Linked DNA regions of Caenorhabditis elegans. The protein of the gene in region 2 interacts with the protein of the main gene of each other region in a pairwise test. Each region holds a gene or a part of one and is shown on either strand. Other genes may lie near its edges.

The links.
Region 1: the proteins of bckd-1A (region 2) and pdhb-1 interact in a two-hybrid assay, tested with the Caenorhabditis elegans proteins (one large-scale study listed by BioGRID).
Region 3: the proteins of bckd-1A (region 2) and bckd-1B interact in a two-hybrid assay, tested with the Caenorhabditis elegans proteins (one large-scale study listed by BioGRID).

Annotation. Positions count from the first base shown.
Region 1 is NC_003282.8:3,397,597-3,404,876, reverse strand, and holds pdhb-1 (Pyruvate dehydrogenase E1 component subunit beta, mitochondrial), read right to left. Parts: upstream 5,206-7,280; 5' UTR 5,190-5,205; coding exon 5,120-5,189; intron 4,990-5,119; coding exon 4,804-4,989; intron 4,269-4,803; coding exon 4,138-4,268; intron 3,448-4,137; coding exon 3,270-3,447; intron 2,629-3,269; coding exon 2,247-2,628; intron 1,304-2,246; coding exon 1,192-1,303; 3' UTR 974-1,191; downstream 1-973. Other genes in the region: dyf-3 (Clusterin-associated protein 1 homolog), read left to right, coding at 5,754-5,775, 5,976-6,087, 6,179-6,437, 6,494-6,694, 7,140-7,280. UniProt on the Caenorhabditis elegans protein: The pyruvate dehydrogenase complex catalyzes the overall conversion of pyruvate to acetyl-CoA and CO(2).
Region 2 is NC_003281.10:12,967,591-12,974,475, forward strand, and holds bckd-1A (2-oxoisovalerate dehydrogenase subunit alpha), read right to left. Parts: upstream 4,808-6,885; coding exon 4,805-4,807; intron 4,231-4,804; coding exon 4,108-4,230; intron 4,038-4,107; coding exon 3,650-4,037; intron 2,349-3,649; coding exon 2,018-2,348; intron 1,086-2,017; coding exon 632-1,085; downstream 1-631. UniProt on the Caenorhabditis elegans protein: The branched-chain alpha-keto dehydrogenase complex catalyzes the overall conversion of alpha-keto acids to acyl-CoA and CO(2).
Region 3 is NC_003279.8:7,725,284-7,730,065, forward strand, and holds bckd-1B (2-oxoisovalerate dehydrogenase subunit beta, mitochondrial), read left to right. Parts: upstream 1-1,983; coding exon 1,984-2,382; intron 2,383-2,428; coding exon 2,429-2,902; intron 2,903-3,237; coding exon 3,238-3,324; intron 3,325-3,387; coding exon 3,388-3,528; 3' UTR 3,529-3,809; downstream 3,810-4,782. Other genes in the region: F27D4.4 (Zinc finger CCCH domain-containing protein 15 homolog), read left to right, coding at 1-7, 56-205, 254-336, 388-576, 696-839, 926-1,027, 1,081-1,195, 1,514-1,593; F27D4.8 (Chromate transporter), read left to right, coding at 3,919-4,068, 4,416-4,520.

The sequences.
Region 1 (7,280 bases), on a different chromosome or scaffold from region 2:
CTTGAGGACAAAATTATTTGGGGGAGCGCTTTTTTCTTCTGAATGGAAGTATTTTTGGAGTGCATTATTATTGTGTGACGGTGGGTGCCGACCACGTCAGGGAATTTTTGAAAAAAAATTGGAAAAAAAATTTCCCAAAAAAAATTGTTACACTTTATTTTTTTTCGATTTTTTCCCTAAAATTTTTTTTTGAAAAACTAGTTACGGAAATTATTTTTAGCTGAAACTACAAAAATGTGCTAATTTTAGACGTAAAATACCCAAAAATTAAACTATTTAGAAATATTTCCAAAAAAAATTATAAGTTTTCGTGGCGGGACCCAACAAATTCCAATTTTATAAAAAAGTTCCTGTATTTTCAAATAAAGCTCGCCGAGAGCTTTGATTTAAGTATAATCATGACCTACTTTTCTTGGAGTTGAAAAAATGTGGGTCTCGCCACGAAATTTATAGTAATCCTGAGATTTTCGTGGGGAGACCCAGTGAATTTAAACTTTCTCAAAAAAATTTTGTGTTTTCGAATTCAGCTCACTGAGAGCTTTCGAACAAGTATAATCACGGCATACATTGCTCGAACTTGAAAAAAAACGTTGGGTCTCGCCACGAAAAATACAGTAACCCTGGGATTTTCGTGGTGAGACCCAACTCAATTTCAGGCAAAACAGGTCATGATTATACTCATTTGAAAGCTCTCGGTGAGGTAAACTCGAATTTTGCGAAAAATAGAGAAAAATTAAAATTTTTGGAAAATCCTTTGAAAAATTAGTGTTTTCAAAAAAAACTTTTCCAGAAAAAAACTAAAAAACAAACAAATATAAAACTAAAAAAGGCGCGCGCGCCAAAAAAATTCCCAAAAAACACGACGAATTTGCATGACAAATGTGGAAAGGAAAAATGCGCATTTTTCCCGAATTTCGGAGAAGGAGCACCTTGCTGCTCCGGGGAAATCGCGGAGCCATAAAACATGAAATTGAGGGGACTTTTATTACTCGTTTTACTCACTAAAATCACTATTAAACGGGGAACATAAAAACAGGAAAAGTACCTAAAAATGGGGAAAATCTCGAAAAAAAAAGCTCTAAAAATTTTTAAAAATTCCAAAAATTTTGAAAAAAAAATTAGGGGAAAAAAGGCATCGGGGGTCATGAGAATTAGAGAAAAATCGATTTTTTAACGAAAAAAAACAGAAAATTATGCGATATTCAGGCTCTTTTTGACAGCTTTCACGACGTGTTCGGCGGTTGGAAGGGCGGCAGCCTCCAAAGTTTGAGTGTATGGCATTGGAACATCGACTCCGGTGACTCTGGAAAATTTTTTAAGATTTTTAGGAAATTTAGAGCATTTCGGGGGATTTTGGAGCTTATTAGGGAATTTTGTAGAAATTTCTAACGAATTCGGAGCTTTTTCAGAGAATTTAGAGCAATTTCTAACATTTTTTGAGCTTGTTTGAGAAAGTATAGAGTTTATAAAGCGAATTTTGGAGCAATGTATTGTGAGATTGCGGAGGGCTTTTGAAGATTTTATAGAATTTTTCAGAGATTTTGGAGCAACTTTTGAGCAGATTTGGAGCATTTTCGGGATGTTTAGGCTGTTTGGAGCACCTTGGAGCATTTTTGAGAAATTTATAAGCAATTTTCAGAGGTTTTGGAAATTTGTGAAGACTTTCTAAAATTTGAGAGCTTTTTTGTGAAATTTTCAGAGATTTTCGAGGAATTATTCAGCAATTTTGGAGCTTTTTAGGGGAATTTAAAGGATTTTTGAAAATTTGCTAAAACTTTGGAGCAATTTTGAGAAATTTATGAGCTCTATGGGGGTTTTTTCCTGAGATTTTGGAGCATTTTCTCGCATTTTAGAGGTTTTTATTCGGGTTTGGATCATTTTTACAAAAATTTGAAGTGTTTTTCGGGAGTTTTGGAAAATTTTAAAGGATTTTATGCGATTTTTCGCATGTTTCGAAGATTTTCGAGCTATTTTCGAATTTTTCGCTTTTTCTTTAAAAAAGAACAAGAAAAATTCGAAAGAATCACAAATTTTCAGCTGTTTTCCTCATATTTTAGGGTCCTTTTTGTTTTTGTAATGAAATTATAAAATTTTCAGATAATTTCGAGTATTTCCTTCAACTTTTCAGAAAATGTCAAATTTGGAACATTTTAAAGATAAAATTTCAAGTTTTGTGCCATTCTTAGCAGTTATTCATCAAATTTTTAGCATTTTAAGCCATTTTTCGCAAATTTTCTCTTACGGACCTCAAAAGTGGCGCGTCAAGTTGATCGAAAACATCGCTCTCCATAACTTGAGCAGCAATTTCTGAGCCAATTCCAGCAAATGGCCATCCAGTCTCAACAGACACCAAATGATGAGTCTTATGAACTGATTGACGAATCGATTCGAAATCAAATGGACGAAGTGAGCGAAGATTAATAACTTCTGCTGAAACTCCGATAGCTTCAAGCTGTTTTGCAGCTTCCAGTGAAAATTCAACTCCACGTGAATACGAGACAATTGTTACGTGATCACCAGCTCTTTCGATCTTTGCCTTGCCAATTGGAACCACGAAATCATCGGAAAGAACCTCGTCGCCGACTGGGAACGATTGTCCATAGAGAATCTCGTTTTCCAGGAAGACAACTGCAAAAAATTCGAATTTTTCCCGAAAAATTGAATTTAGGAGAATATTATAAATTTTCGCAGAATTTTCGGCCAAAACTGAAAAAAAACTGGTTTTCAGATATTTTCCTATAGAATTTTTAATTTTTTTTGGATTTTTTCCTGAAAAACTGCTAAATTTGCACAATATTTTTCGAAATTTAGATTTTACAATGTAAATCTCCGGAAAAAAAGTAAAAAAAAAACATTTTTGAATGAAAAAACTAAACAAAAACCGACTTTTCTCAAATTTTTGATGAAAATAGCGCCGATTTTTTGATTCGGGGTTACTGTAGCGTCAAAAGCACGCAAACATTGGTGTTCGGAAAACCATTTTTCACAAGAAAATCGTTAAAAACTCAAAAAATGAATTAAAAATTCAAATTTGCCACCTTTTAATCAGTCTAAACTGAAATTTTCAGCCAAAAAGCTCCCAATTTCGTAAAATATGGTGTTTGCGTACTTTTGGAGCTACAGTAACCCGGAAAATTTCAAGAAACCGCTTAATTTGATCCTAAAATTTCGAAAATATCAGAAGTTTTCCAGTTGTCACGGTTGTTGACTGAAATTTTCTGGAAAATCTGAATTTTGCATCGAAAATCTCCAATTTTCGCGACAAGTACCCGGATTATCGTCACGAATCGCAGCTTTCAGGAGTCCCTTCGCATCTTCAGCACTGTACGGACAGACAACCTTCAGTCCTGGACAATGAGCATACCAAGCTGAAAAGTCTTGAGAATGCTGAGCAGCAACTCCGGCGGCGGCTCCATTTGGTCCACGGAATACGATTGGGACGGGTACCTGGAAAATAAATTTTCTCGATTTTTTTCTTCAGATATTACAAAATCTCTACAATTTTCGTTTTCAAATGTTTCTTCAATGATTTTATAAATATCATTTTCTCCGGTATTTTTCTTGGAAAAGCGGTGTTTTCAGAAAAAAAAACAAGAAAAAAAAACTTTAAAAGTTATAAATTCCCTATATTTTCTCAGTTTTGGACCGATTTTCCGAAAAAAAATTTCCAATTTCTGATAAAATTCACTGATCAGAAAGTGTTCAGTGATAAGAATTCTTATCAGTTGATGATTTTTACAAATTTTTTCTTATCAAAATGGCGTGAGACCATGTGAAAAACATGATTTTTCAGCATAAATTCAACGAAAATGGCTGAAAAAATGAAATTTTCAGTGAAAAGTCGAGAAAAATCGGATTTTAAAGCTAAAATCAGCTCTGTTGAGGTAAAATTTGTGTAGAAATTTCAGAAAAACCCTGATTTTCAGTCAAAAATCTAGAAAAATCGCATTTTTTGTATCAGAAATTGACTTTTTCCTGAAAAATCAGTGTAAACCGAGGAATTTCGTTCTAAAAATAGCAGAAAGCGTGATTTCTCACGAATTAGTCAAAAATTTGGTGAAAATCTTCAATTTTTCGGCTATTTTTTCGCTGAAAATCGCAATTTCCAGAAAACGTGGCACATTGCCAAGACCGTACCCTTCCGGCGGACATATAATATGTTTTTGCGGCTGAATTAATAATCTGATCGATGGCTTGCATGGAAAAATTGAATGTCATGAACTCGCAAATTGGACGGAGCCCGGCGAAGGCAGCACCGACGGCGATTCCTGAAAAAAATGTGATTTTTTTGGAGGAATTTTCAGTTTTTTCTGAAAAAATTTTGCTAAAAATTGAATAAATCGAGAAAAATGCGAAAATTCGAGCTTTTTAGACAATTTTTGCTGAAAAATTGAATTTGCGCGGTCTTAGAGCTTTTCTGCAAATAACATTGGGAAAAATCTGATTTTTATATAAAAAATGTGATTTTTCAGCTTAATTTTCGACAAAATTTTGATAAAACCGGAATTTTCTGCGAAAAATATCAAAACTCCGTAATTTCCGAGCTTTTTGCAGTGAATATTGAAATTTTCAATAAAAAATGCCGAAAATTAATTGTTTTTAGGAAAATTTCCGAAATTTGTTCGAAAAATCCAATTTTTAGTGTAAAAACTGAACTTTTGAGAGAAAAGATCCAAAATTAAAGTAAATTTGGACACTTTCTTTTCGAAAAAATGGTGCTGTTTTTGGGGATTTATTAGTGATTTTGACGTTCCGAGTCAACATTTCTCGATTTTTCTCGATTTCCAGCGTGATTTCCCGTACCAGCGAATCCCATTTCAGTAATTGGAGTGTCGACGACTCGCTTATCACCGTGCTTCTTCCACAATCCCTTGGAAATCTTGTAAGCTCCGTCGTACTGAGCAACTTCTTCTCCCATCAGGAAAACTCGGTCGTCACGTTTGATTTCCTCGTCCATAGCCTGATTTAGGGCGTCACGGACGGTCATTGCTGAAAAAATTGGCGATTTTTATGCTTTTTTAGGTTAAAATTCGTTTTTTCCGTTCAATTCTTCATTTTTAGCCGGTAATCAGCGATTTTTTCGTTTTTTTTCCATTCATTTTTTGCAATTTCTACTCACTGGAAGCCGCTCTGGTCGAGGTGCCAGCGAGACGAGCCACGAACAGGTTTCCACACTTTCTCAGAGCCATTTCGACCGGGGATTACCTGAAAAACCGGAAATTAATTGAAATTTTGAGGCTTTTGCCGGAAATTTTGAGAAAAATAGAGAAAAACTAGGATTTTTTAAAAAATTTAGGTATTTTGATTCAAAATTCTCACATTTTCATTAGTTTTTCTGCTGAGCATATTGTTTTAATGCTAAAAACTCAAAATTTAGACCAAAACCCTTCCAAATAGAATTTTACTGGTTTCTAGGGTTTTTCACTACGATTTTTCACATTTTCACCACTAAAACAGGCGGAAATCGATAATTTAAACCATATTTCCCCCGATTTTAATAAAAAATCAATGAAAGATGCGCAAAAAAGCAAACAAAACTCGGAGAAAATGCGCGCGGCGCTCCTCTCGAAAAATGTGTGCAATATGGCGTCGCGGTGTTTGCGTACAAAACGCCGGTTGAGCTGCAGAAGCTCGTCGACCGTAGTCTTTGGGGTGTTTGCAGGGAGTTTCTATGGGAACGGAGGAAATATTGAATGGGGGAATAGGCAGGCAATTGTTGAGAAGAGAAGTTTCAATTGAATTCTGCACGAAAAATGTCGTATCGTGAGCTGAGAAGTAAGTTTTTAAGGCTTTTTTAATTTTAAATTTGAACTTTGAGATTTTCATATGGAAAAAATAAGTGTTGCATTAAAATCTAGGTGAGAAATGTTTCTAAACCATAAAACGCAAAAAAAAGACCCAAAATACACTTAAAATTGAATTTTACAAAATCATGGCCGAGTTCGGATTCTAGTCCCAAATTTCGCCAACTTCAGACCTGTGTGAGATGACGCGAAGCCTCCGATACCCTCGCTTGATGTCAATTGAGAATTTCCGGACCCCAAATTTTCAGCTGGTGGCTGAATTGCTGGAATGGATCGTGAAAAAGTTAGTTTCCCAGTGAAAAAAATCGTTGGCCGAAAAATATAGAAACTTTGGCCACTAACTTCCAAGCCTACTCTAAGCCCAAAAATTCCAGATTTGAGCCCGAATCCAACCTTGACGCACACGAAGTCCAAACAGAAGCTGATCGGGTCGCTTTCATCAAGAACGCGGTACTCCTGATGCTCCAAAATTCGAGAATCAAGATGAATCCAAAAAAGTTGTACCAGGCTGATGGTCATGCGGTGCAGGAACTCCTACCGGCCATGAAGATCCTCTACCAGGCCAAGGCAGAGGACCCGAACACTGATAACTCGCCAAAATGGACCCAAGTCAAGAATAAGCTCTCGTCGAAGGTGGGTCTCACAGGCCACCAGCCTGAAAAAGCCTGAAAAAACTGTCGAAAGTTCAGATGCAGGAGGTCCGAATCACTCGTCAGCTATCATCACAACTCCCGGAAACAGGTGCCCTGCTCAGTGAGCTGCTGTCCCGGCAGGAGTTCATATCTCAGCAACACGAGAGAGCCGCGTCACGGGCGGTACCACTTGCTGAGGCCGAGAAGGTGCTGCAGGCAACAGTGCAGAACATCGCTCAGGAGACTGAGCAGCTATCGGTAAGCTTGACGGGTCACGGAGCTCCTGGTGGCGTAGGTTTGAGCTCTGGCGTCTTAGAGTTTGAGAGATTGGCCTGGCTCGATCCTGATTGTGAAGCGGACAGTAAAAAGCTTGGACTTCTTCTAATGGCGTGGGCTTGGTCAAAGAGTGACTTGAACTTTGATTCAGACTTTGAAGCTTCATTACCTGAACTCTAGTGGTATATGCAGGGCTTCAAGCCACTAGACCGGGCCTGTGCATCTTCTCCAGAAGCTCAGAGACCCCTAGCCTCGAGGAGTCCGCTGAGGATCTTGGAGCTGAAGGAATAGACTGAATTAGCCTAACTGGCTTGAAGCAACACCCACTCCACTCGAACCCACGTGATTGTTCTTAAAGCCCGGAGGGTCTGAGTCACTTACAATTAGGTTAGGTGCAGGCTCCCCAGCTAACCTCTCAAATTTTCAGAACAAGCTGAACAACGTGGCCAGCGATGAGGCAGAGCTCGACGAGAAGATAGAGCGAAAGAAGCGAGAGTACGAGCAGTTGCAAAAAAGATTCGCAAAGCTACAGTCCTTCCGACCTCAGTATATGGACGAGTACGAGCGG
Region 2 (6,885 bases):
CCAAAAAACTACGAAAAATTAATGAAAATTCCGCAAATACACAAGTTTGAAACTACAGTACTCTTTAAAGGCGCACACCTGTTTGCACAAAACTAAAATTGTCGTGTCGAGACCAAAATCCTAAAATTTTCGTTTGAAAAAAAAAAGAACATAGAACATTAAAAATTTTCGGTCAAAACCGACAAGAGAAGATTGCAAAGAAAAGATATAGAGAAATCGTGAGAGAATTAGAGAAAAATACAAAAAAAAGATAAAGAAAATTGATAAAAAAAAGAAGAAATTTGTGCTGTCGTATTGATACGAACAATTGGTTGTTCAGTGGCAATAAATTGCAAAAATTAAAATTTTTCGAGCATTCGGTCTATTTTATTTGTTATACGCCCTATTCAGGACACAAAAATCGATAAAACAGTGTGGGGTATCCTCTCCATATTGAAAGGTGGGAAGGGGCTGACAAAAGAAATATGCGGGGAACACGGGAAAAGGCACCTAGAAACAAAACATGAGGGTTCATAAATAAAAGCAAAATCTATTTGATAAAACACATCGGAATGGCACAGGAAAATCTACAAAAAAAAAACGTATTCTAGTAATATTTTCATAGAAAAAAAAAGCATCACAAAAAATGAATTTAAGGCTTCGATTGAAGAGTCTCCAACATCGGATAATGCTCCTTGTACTCCGCAACATGAGCATCCAGCTCATCTCTCTGACGGCGAAGTCTGAGTGGAAGCTCATCATAAACATCCTCGAACAAATCATGATAATGCGCCTTCTTCCGCTTCTCAGCTGCGGCGAACTCGGTGAGCACACGCTTCTTCACCTCTTTCTGCCATTCCATCTCCTTCTCCTCATTCCACCATCCACGTTCCGTGATGTACTTCTTGAAGCGAGTGATCGGATGATCCTTGTCTCCCCATGTTTGAACTTCATCGGAAGATCGGTAGGCGGTCGAGTCGTCGGATGTTGAATGATGGCCGAGGCGGTAGGTCATGGCCTCGATGAGCACTGGGCGGTTGGTGAGGGCGACTCGGCGGGCTTCTTTTGTCGCGTTGTAGACGGCGAGAAGGTCGTTTCCATCGACTCTGGAAAAAATTTTGAAATTTTTTGTTATTTTTTAAATTTCCAATTTTATATTTCAAAAATAGCTCATTTTTCCTCTTTTTAGAAGATAATATTAGATTATATAGATAGAATATTCGCAAGTGCCGCACAGAAAAATGGGCGGGGCGTAATTTTGCAACCCTGCGGCACGGTTTTTCCTTTATTTTTGATGATTTTTAAAAAATATATTTAGGTATGCAAACAGATACTGAACAATCGATCCGTGATTTATTTCTTGCAAAAGAAAAAAGCTGCGTCGCACAGAAAAATGGGCGGGGCGTAGTTTTGCAAGTCTGCGGCGCGCCTTAAGATTCGATTTTTTTTTCAATTTTTGGCAAAATTAGTCAATTTTCTGAAAATCTACAATTTTCTCTTCTTTTTCGTAATTTTGTTCCACTTTTTCCCGCGATTTTCTCGTAAAATAAACGGCACGCCGCAGGTTTGCAAAACCTAAGCTCCGCCTCTTTTTCTGTGCGACCACAGAGTTCTGAAAATGCGTATTTCACAACATATTTGACGTGATAACATATGTTGTGCAATACGCATTTTCAGAATTCTGTGATCGCACAGAAAAAGGAGCGGAGCCTCGTTTTCGCAAACCTGCGGCGCACTTTTTTAGGCTGAAATTCTTATTTTGGTGATTTTTTACCGATTAATTGTGGGTTTTTTCTTTAATTTTCGTATATTTTTTTTATATTTTCGAATTTTTGCCAATTTCACGAGAAAATCGCGAAAAAATGGAGGAAAAAAAGGGAAAAACAAGAGAAAATTGTAAAATTTCAGAAATTACAATTTTTTTTGTCAAAAAATGATTCAAAATCAAGCAAAATCAAGCCAAAAACTGCAAATTCTTGCGCTCCGCCTCTTTTTCCGTGCGGTGGCACTGCTTTTCAACGAATCCAGTTCTCTCTACCTAATAGTATGAAGACCATAAGCCGGTCCCTTTCCAGCAATTCCATCTCCTCCATACTGTTCACTAGTCGGCGTAGAAATGGCGTATCCGTTGTTTCTACAGAAGAAAATAATCGGGCATTTGAGAGTGGCGGCGAAGTTGAACGCTGCGTGAGCATCTCCTTCAGAAGCGGCTCCATCTCCGAAATAGACGACTGCGATGCGATTATTATCCTTTTGTTGCTTGAAAGCGTACGCTGAGCCGACGGCTTGTGGAAGTTGAGTGGTCAGTGGAGATGAGATTGTGACAAAGTTTCGCTCTTTTGTTCCGAAATGCATTGGCATTTGGCGGCCTGAAAATGGAATTTTTGGTTTTTGAAAAAATCTTGGAATTCGAAGACCAGCGGCTGCTGGAGCTTTTGTTCAAAAATTTTCAAATTTTTTTTTCGGATTTTTAAAAAATTCCACTCAATTTTTCCTTAAAAATCGATTTTTCTTCGAGTTTTTCATCAGATTTTTCCTTTTTTTTTAAATTTTTTCGTGATTTTTTTTGTAAAAAAGACAAAAAAAAACGACGCCGCACAGAAAAAGAGGCGGGGCGTAATTTTGCAACCCTGCGGCACGATTTTTCGAGACCCGAAGAACTCGGGGGATGTCCAATTGGGGGGATTACCAACTCGGGGGATTGGCCCCGCCCACAGAACCGTGGCTTGCAATACGCCCATTTCTGCAACTGCCGCACGGTTTTAAAAATATTTTTTCTTGTTATTTCTCGCTCTATTAATAAAAATACAGTTTTAAAACCGTGCGGCAGTTGCAGAAATGGGTGTATTGCAAGCCACGGTTCTGTGGGCGGGGCCAATCCCCCGAGTTGGTAATCCCCCCAATTGGACATCCCCCGAGTTCTTCGGGTCTCGATTTTTCCTGGCTTTTTGATGATTTTTTTTCAAATTTTTTGGATAAATCGATTCGTGATTTTTTTGCAAAAAAAGCGCCGCCGCACAAAAAAAGAGGCGTGGCGTAATTTTGCAACCCTGCGGCACGGTTTTTCCTCCTTTTTCAATGGTTTTTTTCAAAATTTTTTTGAGAAATCGATTCGTGATTTTTTTTTGAAAAAAAATAGCGCGGCACAGAAAAAGGGGTGGAGCGTAATTTTTCAACCCTGCGGCACGGTTTTCCTCTTTTTTTGATGATTTTTTTCAAAATTTTTTAGATAAATCGATTCGTGATTTTTTTTTTGCAAAAAAAAGCGCCGCCGCACAGAAAAAGATGCGGAGCGTAATTTTGCAACCCTGCGGCACGGTTTTTCCTCCTTTTTCAATGATTTTTTCCAAAAATTCACAATTTTTCTTATTTTCTTTTTTTAAGTAAAAATGTTACCTAATTCGCACAATCTTATGAGTAGTAAATTGAATAATATTTTCAAGAAATATTGTAAATTTTCGGAGAAAAAAGGAAAAATCAACAAAAAAGAGGAAAAACCGTGCCACGTCGTTGCAAAATTACGCCCCACCTCTTTTTCTGTGCGGCACAGTTTTTTTTTGCAAAATTCGGGAATCGAAGTGAAGAAAAATTGAAAAAAAAACGGAAAAATAGGTTGACTTTCTCCAGAAATATCGATTTTTTAAAAGCAAAATCAAGGTTTTTCTCGGACCTTTTCCCAAGTCATCCGCATTTCCATAGCACTGATTCATGAAATTCTCCATAGTATATCCTCTCCACAGCAGGACCCCGGCTTCACGATATTGTCCATAAATCAGATCCTGTGGCTCGAGAGCGGCGGCACTTCCGACATGATTTCCTTCTTCTCCGAAGCTTGTCATATAAAACGAGATGCGTCCTTGACGCTGCGAATCATACAGGATCCGATCCATAATATTCAGCTGTGTCATCGTTTTGTACATTTTCAGCGAAGTTTGCTCGTCGAAATTTGGGTCCTGCGACTTGTCGATGACGTCACCGACGGCGTTGGTGACTCTGTAGATTGGCAGTGCTGGCGTGTCGTCGGCGTTCACGATTTCTAGTTTTTCAGTGAAAGCGGCCTGAAAAAAGTGAAGTTTAGTATTTTAAATGGGGAAAAAATAGAAAAATAATAAATTAAGAATAAATTACTTTTCTATGGCCCAAATACTTTGAGCTGTACTCGCTGAGCCGGAAAGCGTCTCCTTCAACGGTAGAAGCCATGCTTCTGACGGTTGCCACCCGTCTCGAGGCGTTGAGAAGTGCTCTGTGCATCTGAAGGGAATAAGGAATTAAAATTTTTGAATTAAAAATATTTTTTTGAATTTTTTCAACAAAAAAGATACAATAAAACGTGGCAAATAGTCTATTGAATTTGCCACAAAAAAAATGCAAAAAAATGCAAAAAACCTGTGGAAAAATCACCAGCCACAGAAAAAAGTCCGCAAAATGTCGTCAAATGTGGTGTATTGACGACACTTTGTGTCACTTTTCATGTGTTTCAATCACTTTCAGTGATAAGAGCTGAGAGATATTTGGCGGAAAATCGATAAAAATCAAACAACTAACAATCGGCAGAGTTTGCAACAAAAATCTGAGCCGGTTCTCTTATTCTCTTGAAAAATCTACAGTAACCTAGCAGAAGTTTAGAGGCCTAGGTTTTTTCTTTCGAAAGCTTTCTAATAAATTCATTGACTTTACAATGAAATTGATAAAAAATAAATCGTTATTTCATCGAAAAAACTCTAAAAATCCACAGTACTCCTTAAAGGCGCATACCCGTTTTTATTTCACAAGAACTTGTCGCGGTGAGACCTTTTTGCTCAAAAATCTTTTTAAAAAAACGAACCATTTGATGATTTCCCCAGGGAAAACGCGTGTTTCTTCGGCGAAAGACAGAACAAGAAATTGGATTTTCTAATCTTTTTCCAGAAAACAGGGCGACACGGGAAACTGAATTTAAAAAAATTTAAATTATTGATTTTCTTTAGATTAGAGAAAAAATTAATCATTTCTCGATTTCTATTCATTTCGAACGAAAACAGCAATTTATTATCGGTAAGAACTTTTGAATTTCGACTGAAAATGTGATTTTTTCATTGAAATTCTGCAGATTATAAAACAAAAATATTGCAATTTGTAAGGATTCCCACCCTTTTCACTTCACATTTTACATAAATAAATACTAATTTATTTGCCTTTAAATTCTCTCTGATAATTTACAGAAAGAACGGACGAAATCGGTCGAGGACAACGATTTCTACAGCGAAGGCAATCCGCGAGGAGGAGAAACTCCAGTTCAAACCGCCGCCAAGCTACAGAAGGTCGCCTTGTCGCGCCGAGACCCGTCGTCGTTAAAGGCTGCGCCTTTAACCCGGAATGCCTATATAAGGAGAGGACGACGCTCATTTGTGATCATTTATTAACTCTTTAACCCGTTACTTGTCGTTTTCCCTTTTCTCTCGTTTACTCTGTTTCGACGATGCAATTCGTCTGTTCCCTTTTACTTAATAAACCCTTATAAGATCGATCAGTGTGCGTGAGTGGCAGTTACATCCTATACCTTTATTAATTATGAGCGAAGAAGATGATCACGACGTGGAGACTGCACTGATGGTGAACCTGTAATTACAGGAAGACGGGGACGATTCGAAACATTTTTCTATGGAATTGATGTCTGTTGTTCGTGGATTCCGGTTGGTTGGGACCAGGGCTGGGACTTTTTCGTTTTCGCGTTTTCGTTTTTTCGTTGTTTTCGGGGTTTTGACGAAAACGAATTTTTTCGTTTTCGTTTTCGAAAATGTTCGAAAAACGAAAATAAAACGACTTTATTTAATTCTGGTATTTTTTCCACTTTCTTTCGAAGTTTCGCCGAAATTTTGAAAAATCAATTATTTTCTGCTAAGACTCAGAACTGAAGATAAACTTTAAAAACAAAAAAAGCAACAGTTTTCAGTTTTGGAAAACAATTAAAATACTCTTTTGCGTAACAATAGATTCATTCATTTTAAGACAGGAAGTTTCTTTGTTCTGAGCTCCAATGTTGGGCTATCTTATTGAATGCACCGAATTTGGCTAAAAATTCATTCAAGCAACAAGTAAAACATATTTCCACAGTATCTAATAAATTTTTGATGATTTTTGCTTCAAAAAATGCAAAGTAAACTCAAAATCAGAAATACCACAAAAGAAAAGCGTGAAAAATCCCCGTGATTTTTCAATTTTGGCGTGATAGACCAATCAGCGATTCGCTCCGCCCATTTTTGAACCAATCAGATGGCAGCTCTAATTTTGGAGGGAATTCAAACAAAAATCGCAATTTTTTATTTTTTTTTTGTGGTTTTTTTCTGAATTTCAGACTTTCCATTTTTCAGACCGCATACTTCATCTTCATGATCCTCATCCACTGTTTTCTCAACTTTTTTTCTTTGAAGAATTTCTGGAATGATGAAAAAATATATTTTAAAATGTGACTGTTTCGGATTTCATTCATTTTATTTACTTTGTGTCAATTCTTCTCGCTTTTATGTCAGTTGGGTTTCAAATCATTGGGTTGCTGTATTTTAGTGTGCTGCTGGTTCCGCTGTTCTTGTTCAGTGTAAGCACGTGCTCGCTGGCTGTCTCAAAATTCACGTTTTCTCGCGGACGAGAAAACTTGAGAAATGTGAGAAAATGGCCTAGAAAATCCTGGAAGAGGAGAATTCCTCGTCCACAGCCAAAATAGAGTGTGAAAGAAGAGACGCAGACGGCAAAACGGTTATTCTTGGCGTTTTTCACGTCCAGAGAAAAAAGTAGAATCTGCGTCTCTCACGCCCAATGGATAGCGAGAGTTGGCGCCAACGTGAATTCTCAATGAGGTGCGTTTGCTTCAAAATTATGCAAAAGGACAGCCAGCGACCACGTGTGTAAGTGGGATCACACACACACAAA
Region 3 (4,782 bases), on a different chromosome or scaffold from region 2:
GCAAAAGGTTGCCACTTTTAGATCGAAAAAAATTAAACTGTTGTGAATTTTTCAGATGTCGATCCAAAATCTCTTCTCTGTGTATTCTTCAAACAAGGTCTTTGCGGAAAAGGAGCAAAGTGCAAATTCAGTCACGATTTGGCAGTTGCTCAGAAGACAGCGAAGAAGAACCTGTATGCAGACAGCAGAGAAGTCGAAAAAGACGGTTTGCACCAAATTAAACGTTTTTTTTTGTAATTTCTAAGCATTCCAGAAGAAACAAACGAGAACTGGGACTCGGACAAATTGAATGAAGTGGTCAATAAGAAAAATAAAAATAAACATATGATTGATATTGTAAGCAGTTTCATGACAGACATTTTTAAGTTTAAAAAATTGAATTTTAAGGTTTGCAAGTACTTCTTGGAAGCTGTAGAGAACAACAAGTACGGTTGGTTTTGGGAATGTCCGAATGGAGGAGAAAAATGTCAATATCGGCATTGTCTACCAGAAGGATATGTTTTGAAAAAGGAACGGAAAGCAATGGAGCAACAAAAAGAAGATGAAATTAGTATTGAGGAACTTGTTGAGAAAGAGGTATACTTATAGGGGAAAATAGTGGCAAAAACATTGTTAAAAGTTATTTCAATTTGAAAGACCACATAAATTAAATTTTATTCCAATTTTTCGTAAGAATTATAGTTTAACATTTCCAGAGAGCCGCTTTGAGTTCGAAAAATCTCACAAAATTAACACTCCAAACCTTCATTGCCTGGAAGAAGAAGAAGTTAAGAGAGCGAAAAGAGAAAGAAGAAGCCGATTTGAAAGAAAAGAAAGAGAAGATCAAATCTGGAAAACATGTAAGAAATTTGAATTTTTATTTAAATTTACTACTTTAATTTCTGTTTCTCGTCTCTTTACATAAATTAATGTTTTCTTTTTTTAGAATGGAATGTCTGGACGTGATCTTTTCTTATATGACGCCAATCTGGTCAACAACGACGACGACGAGGCCGGAGATATTGAGATGGAGAAGGAAGAAGTTGATGTTAGTTTTTGAAATTAATTATTTTAATTTTACAAAAATTTAAATAATTTCAGGAGAATGAAAAGGTATTTGAAATCGATGCCAACTTCTTCAAATTCGACGGAATGGACGATGAACTGACGGATCAAATGAGCAAATCCTCGACTGCTGTTGAATCTACTGCTAAAGGTAATTTTTTTCAGTGCGTAAATAAAAAACAATTTTCGTCAAATTTGAATGGCTAATTTTTCTGTTAAAAAACTATTTTTGACACGTGGCTTTTCTCTGGCTGTCAATATCCTCATTTCATTCTTATCAACACAAAAAAATTCAAACATCATTTTGGCTGTCACTTCAAAATCTGTTATCTTTCGGCAAAAATCAATTGAATTTCTCCCTTTCCCACAGACACACGTTTTGCAAAAAAAAAAACGTTTTCTTTATTGTGTCTGGGTCTCTTGTGGCGAGCCGACACACTATCTCAAAAACTAATTTCAAAAATTGCAGGAATGGCAAAGATGGACATCAACGAGGACTTGTTCGACATTGACGAAGACGTTGAAAACCTCGATTCTGATGAGGATTGAAGAGTATACTTCTGGTGCTCCCCCTTTTTTCCTGTTCTTTTTCTGTTTTTGCTTTGAATTTCAGTGTTTCTTTTTTCCCGATTCCCCTGCTATCTATTATTATTTCTTGTTTGTCACGACTAACCGGTAGTCCCAATTTTCTCTGTATTTGATTATTTTTTTCAAATTACAAGGGACTATTATTTGAAGTTTTCTCCATTTTTTGGTGTCGTTTTGTTATAAATTCATTACAATTCAGATGATTTATTTTAATTTTGAAAAAATATCGGTTTTGCCCGATTCATTTATCTTTTATTTTAATCTTCAAATAATGCGTGAACTTTTGATTGAAAAAATTAATTAACTTGGAAATCCTATAAAAGTTTATTTTAAAATTATTGCGATCTTCAGATGAGTTCCCGAGCCGTAAGCCTCTTCTCAAAATGTGGATCCAGAATCTCCCAAACTCGAGGAAAAGCTCACTTCACGTTTCAACCATCAACCACACTTCCAGCAGGACTTGAAAATCTTGAAAAGACTAAAATGAATTTGATGCAGTCTGTTAATGAAGCGATGAGAATTGCAATGGAAACAGATGATTCTGCTGTTCTTTTTGGTGAAGATGTTGCTTTTGGTGGTGTCTTCAGATGTAGTTTGGATCTTCAAAAGAAGTTCGGAAAAGATCGAGTCTTCAATACTCCACTTTGTGAGCAGGGAATTGCTGGATTCGGAATTGGAGTCGCAGCGGCTGGAGCAACTGCCATTGCTGAGATTCAGTTTGGTGATTACATCTTCCCAGCTTATGATCAGGTAATATCCGGAATAAATATTATGGAAATAAAAAAAATTATTCCAGCTTGTCAACGAGGCAGCCAAGTTCAGATACCGTTCGGGAAATCAATTTGACTGTGGAAAACTGACTGTAAGAACAACATGGGGAGCCGTAGGACATGGAGCTCTATACCATTCACAGAGTCCTGAAGCTAACTTCACCCATACCCCAGGATTAAAGCTTGTTGTTCCACGTGGGCCAGTTCAAGCCAAAGGACTTCTTCTGTCGTGCATTCGTGATCCGAATCCATGTATTTTCTTCGAACCAAAGATTCTTTATCGATTGGCTTCTGAAGATGTTCCAACTGGAGATTACACAATTCCACTGGGACAAGCTGAAACTGTTCGTTCTGGAAAAGATTTGACACTTGTTGCCTGGGGAACACAGGTTCATGTTGCTCTTGAAGCAGCTCAATTGGCCAAGGAGAAGCTCAATGCAGATGTTGAAGTTATTGATCTTCAGACGATTCAACCTTGGGACGAGGATCATGTAGTAGAGGTGAATTATTACAAAATTCTGCGAATGCGTATTGCGCAACATATTTGACGCGCAAAATATCTCGTAACGCAAAGTACAGTAATTCTTTAAGTGACTACTGAAGCGTCGATTTACGGGCTCGATTCTTGAAATTAATTTTTTGCGATTAGTTCGTTTCTCCGTTTGGATTTTAATATTCTATCGATAAATCAATGATCTAGCCCGTAAATCGACACAAGCGCTGCAGAAGTCATTTAAAGAACTACTGTAGTTTTCGCTGCGAGATATTTTGCGTTTTTTGTTTGTGTTCGCGTAATATTTGGATGTTGAGTGATTAAATATGAATTATTTTTCAGAGTGTTCAAAAAACTGGTCGACTCATTGTCACTCATGAAGCTCCGATTTCTTCTGGTTTTGGAGCTGAAATTGCTTCTACTGTTCAGGTAAATAATTTATATTTTACTTTCCTTTTTCAAATAATAAATTAACAATCAAAAATATTACAGAAACGTTGCTTCCTGAACCTTGAATCTCCAATAGATCGTGTTGCTGGATTCGATACACCATTCCCACACGTTCACGAACCATTCTACCTGCCAACTGTTCATCGAGTTTTCGACGCAATCAAGAAGAGTGTTAACTATTAGAATATGTATTTGATATAAGAAATTATACAAGGTAACAACGAAACCGTGTAGAAAAGTAGAATATTTTCTTGTTTTAGCCTAATTTTCTGTTCAAACGGTGCCATCTGCATTTTAAATCACCCATATTTTATTCCGGTCCAAATCGCTAAACCCATCATCATAAATGTGTTGGTTTTTGACATTATATGTCGAACATTCCCTCAATTGCTCGTTTTAGATATTTTCAGTGTGCTATAGTTCTTTTATGTGTTTTATGAATAAATGTATGAATTGATTTTTCTAAAAGTATTTTCATCTTTTTTCTTCGTTGGATTCTCATCTAATATTTGATTTTTGATTTTTCCTGTAAAAACGGGAAATGCGGATTTTCAGATCTCTTCAAAAAGCGGGATGAACCATATAATAGCTGCGGGTCTTCTAATCATTGTCTCAATTGCATCAATTATTCCTGGATTTCCTGTGCTCATCTGGCTTCAGAGTTATTTCCCAGAGCTCCCAGAATATTACACAATTGATAGTATTGCTGTCTATAGTGTTCAGGTTAATATTCTCATTTTCATCAGATACCTGTAATATTACCCGGTTCCAAAATTTTGCAATTTTTGACATACAATACTTTATCTCGAAGCGACCGAAAGATCCCAGTTACCGTACCCACAAGTCTTCCTACCGCATATTTGCATCTTTCTGTTCAATGTTTTTTGCAATCACTGGAAAATTTGGAAAGAAGCTCAAATTGTAAGAAATACTGATATAAGCAACATTAAAAAGCGAGAAACTTGCGGGTACGGTAACCATGAAGTTTTCGGGCCCAAAATTGCATCTTTTCTAAACTAAGTAACTTGTAGACTGCTAATTTTGTTTCAGTTTTTGAATTTAATTTTCAGGCCGGAATTATCTTCATCCTCGGAATCCTGTCAATGTGTCTCTACTCGGACATCGCTTGCCCACTTGCCATCAAGGGATATGCTGCCATTTTTTCCAGAATGTGATTAATTAATTATATATTGCCAAATTTGAATTTTTCTGTGAAAATGTACAAATCGAAATAACAATTTTTTATGCTATGAATTTTTTTCGCATAACACTTTGAAAAGAAGCATACGTAAATATGAGCGTATTACGTGAACACTTAACTTTTGGAATGTATATTGCGAAACATATTTAACGCTCAAAACATCCCGTAGCGAAAACTACAGTAACTCTTTGAATGACTACTGTAGCACTGGTGTCGATTTACTGAAATCTTTTATT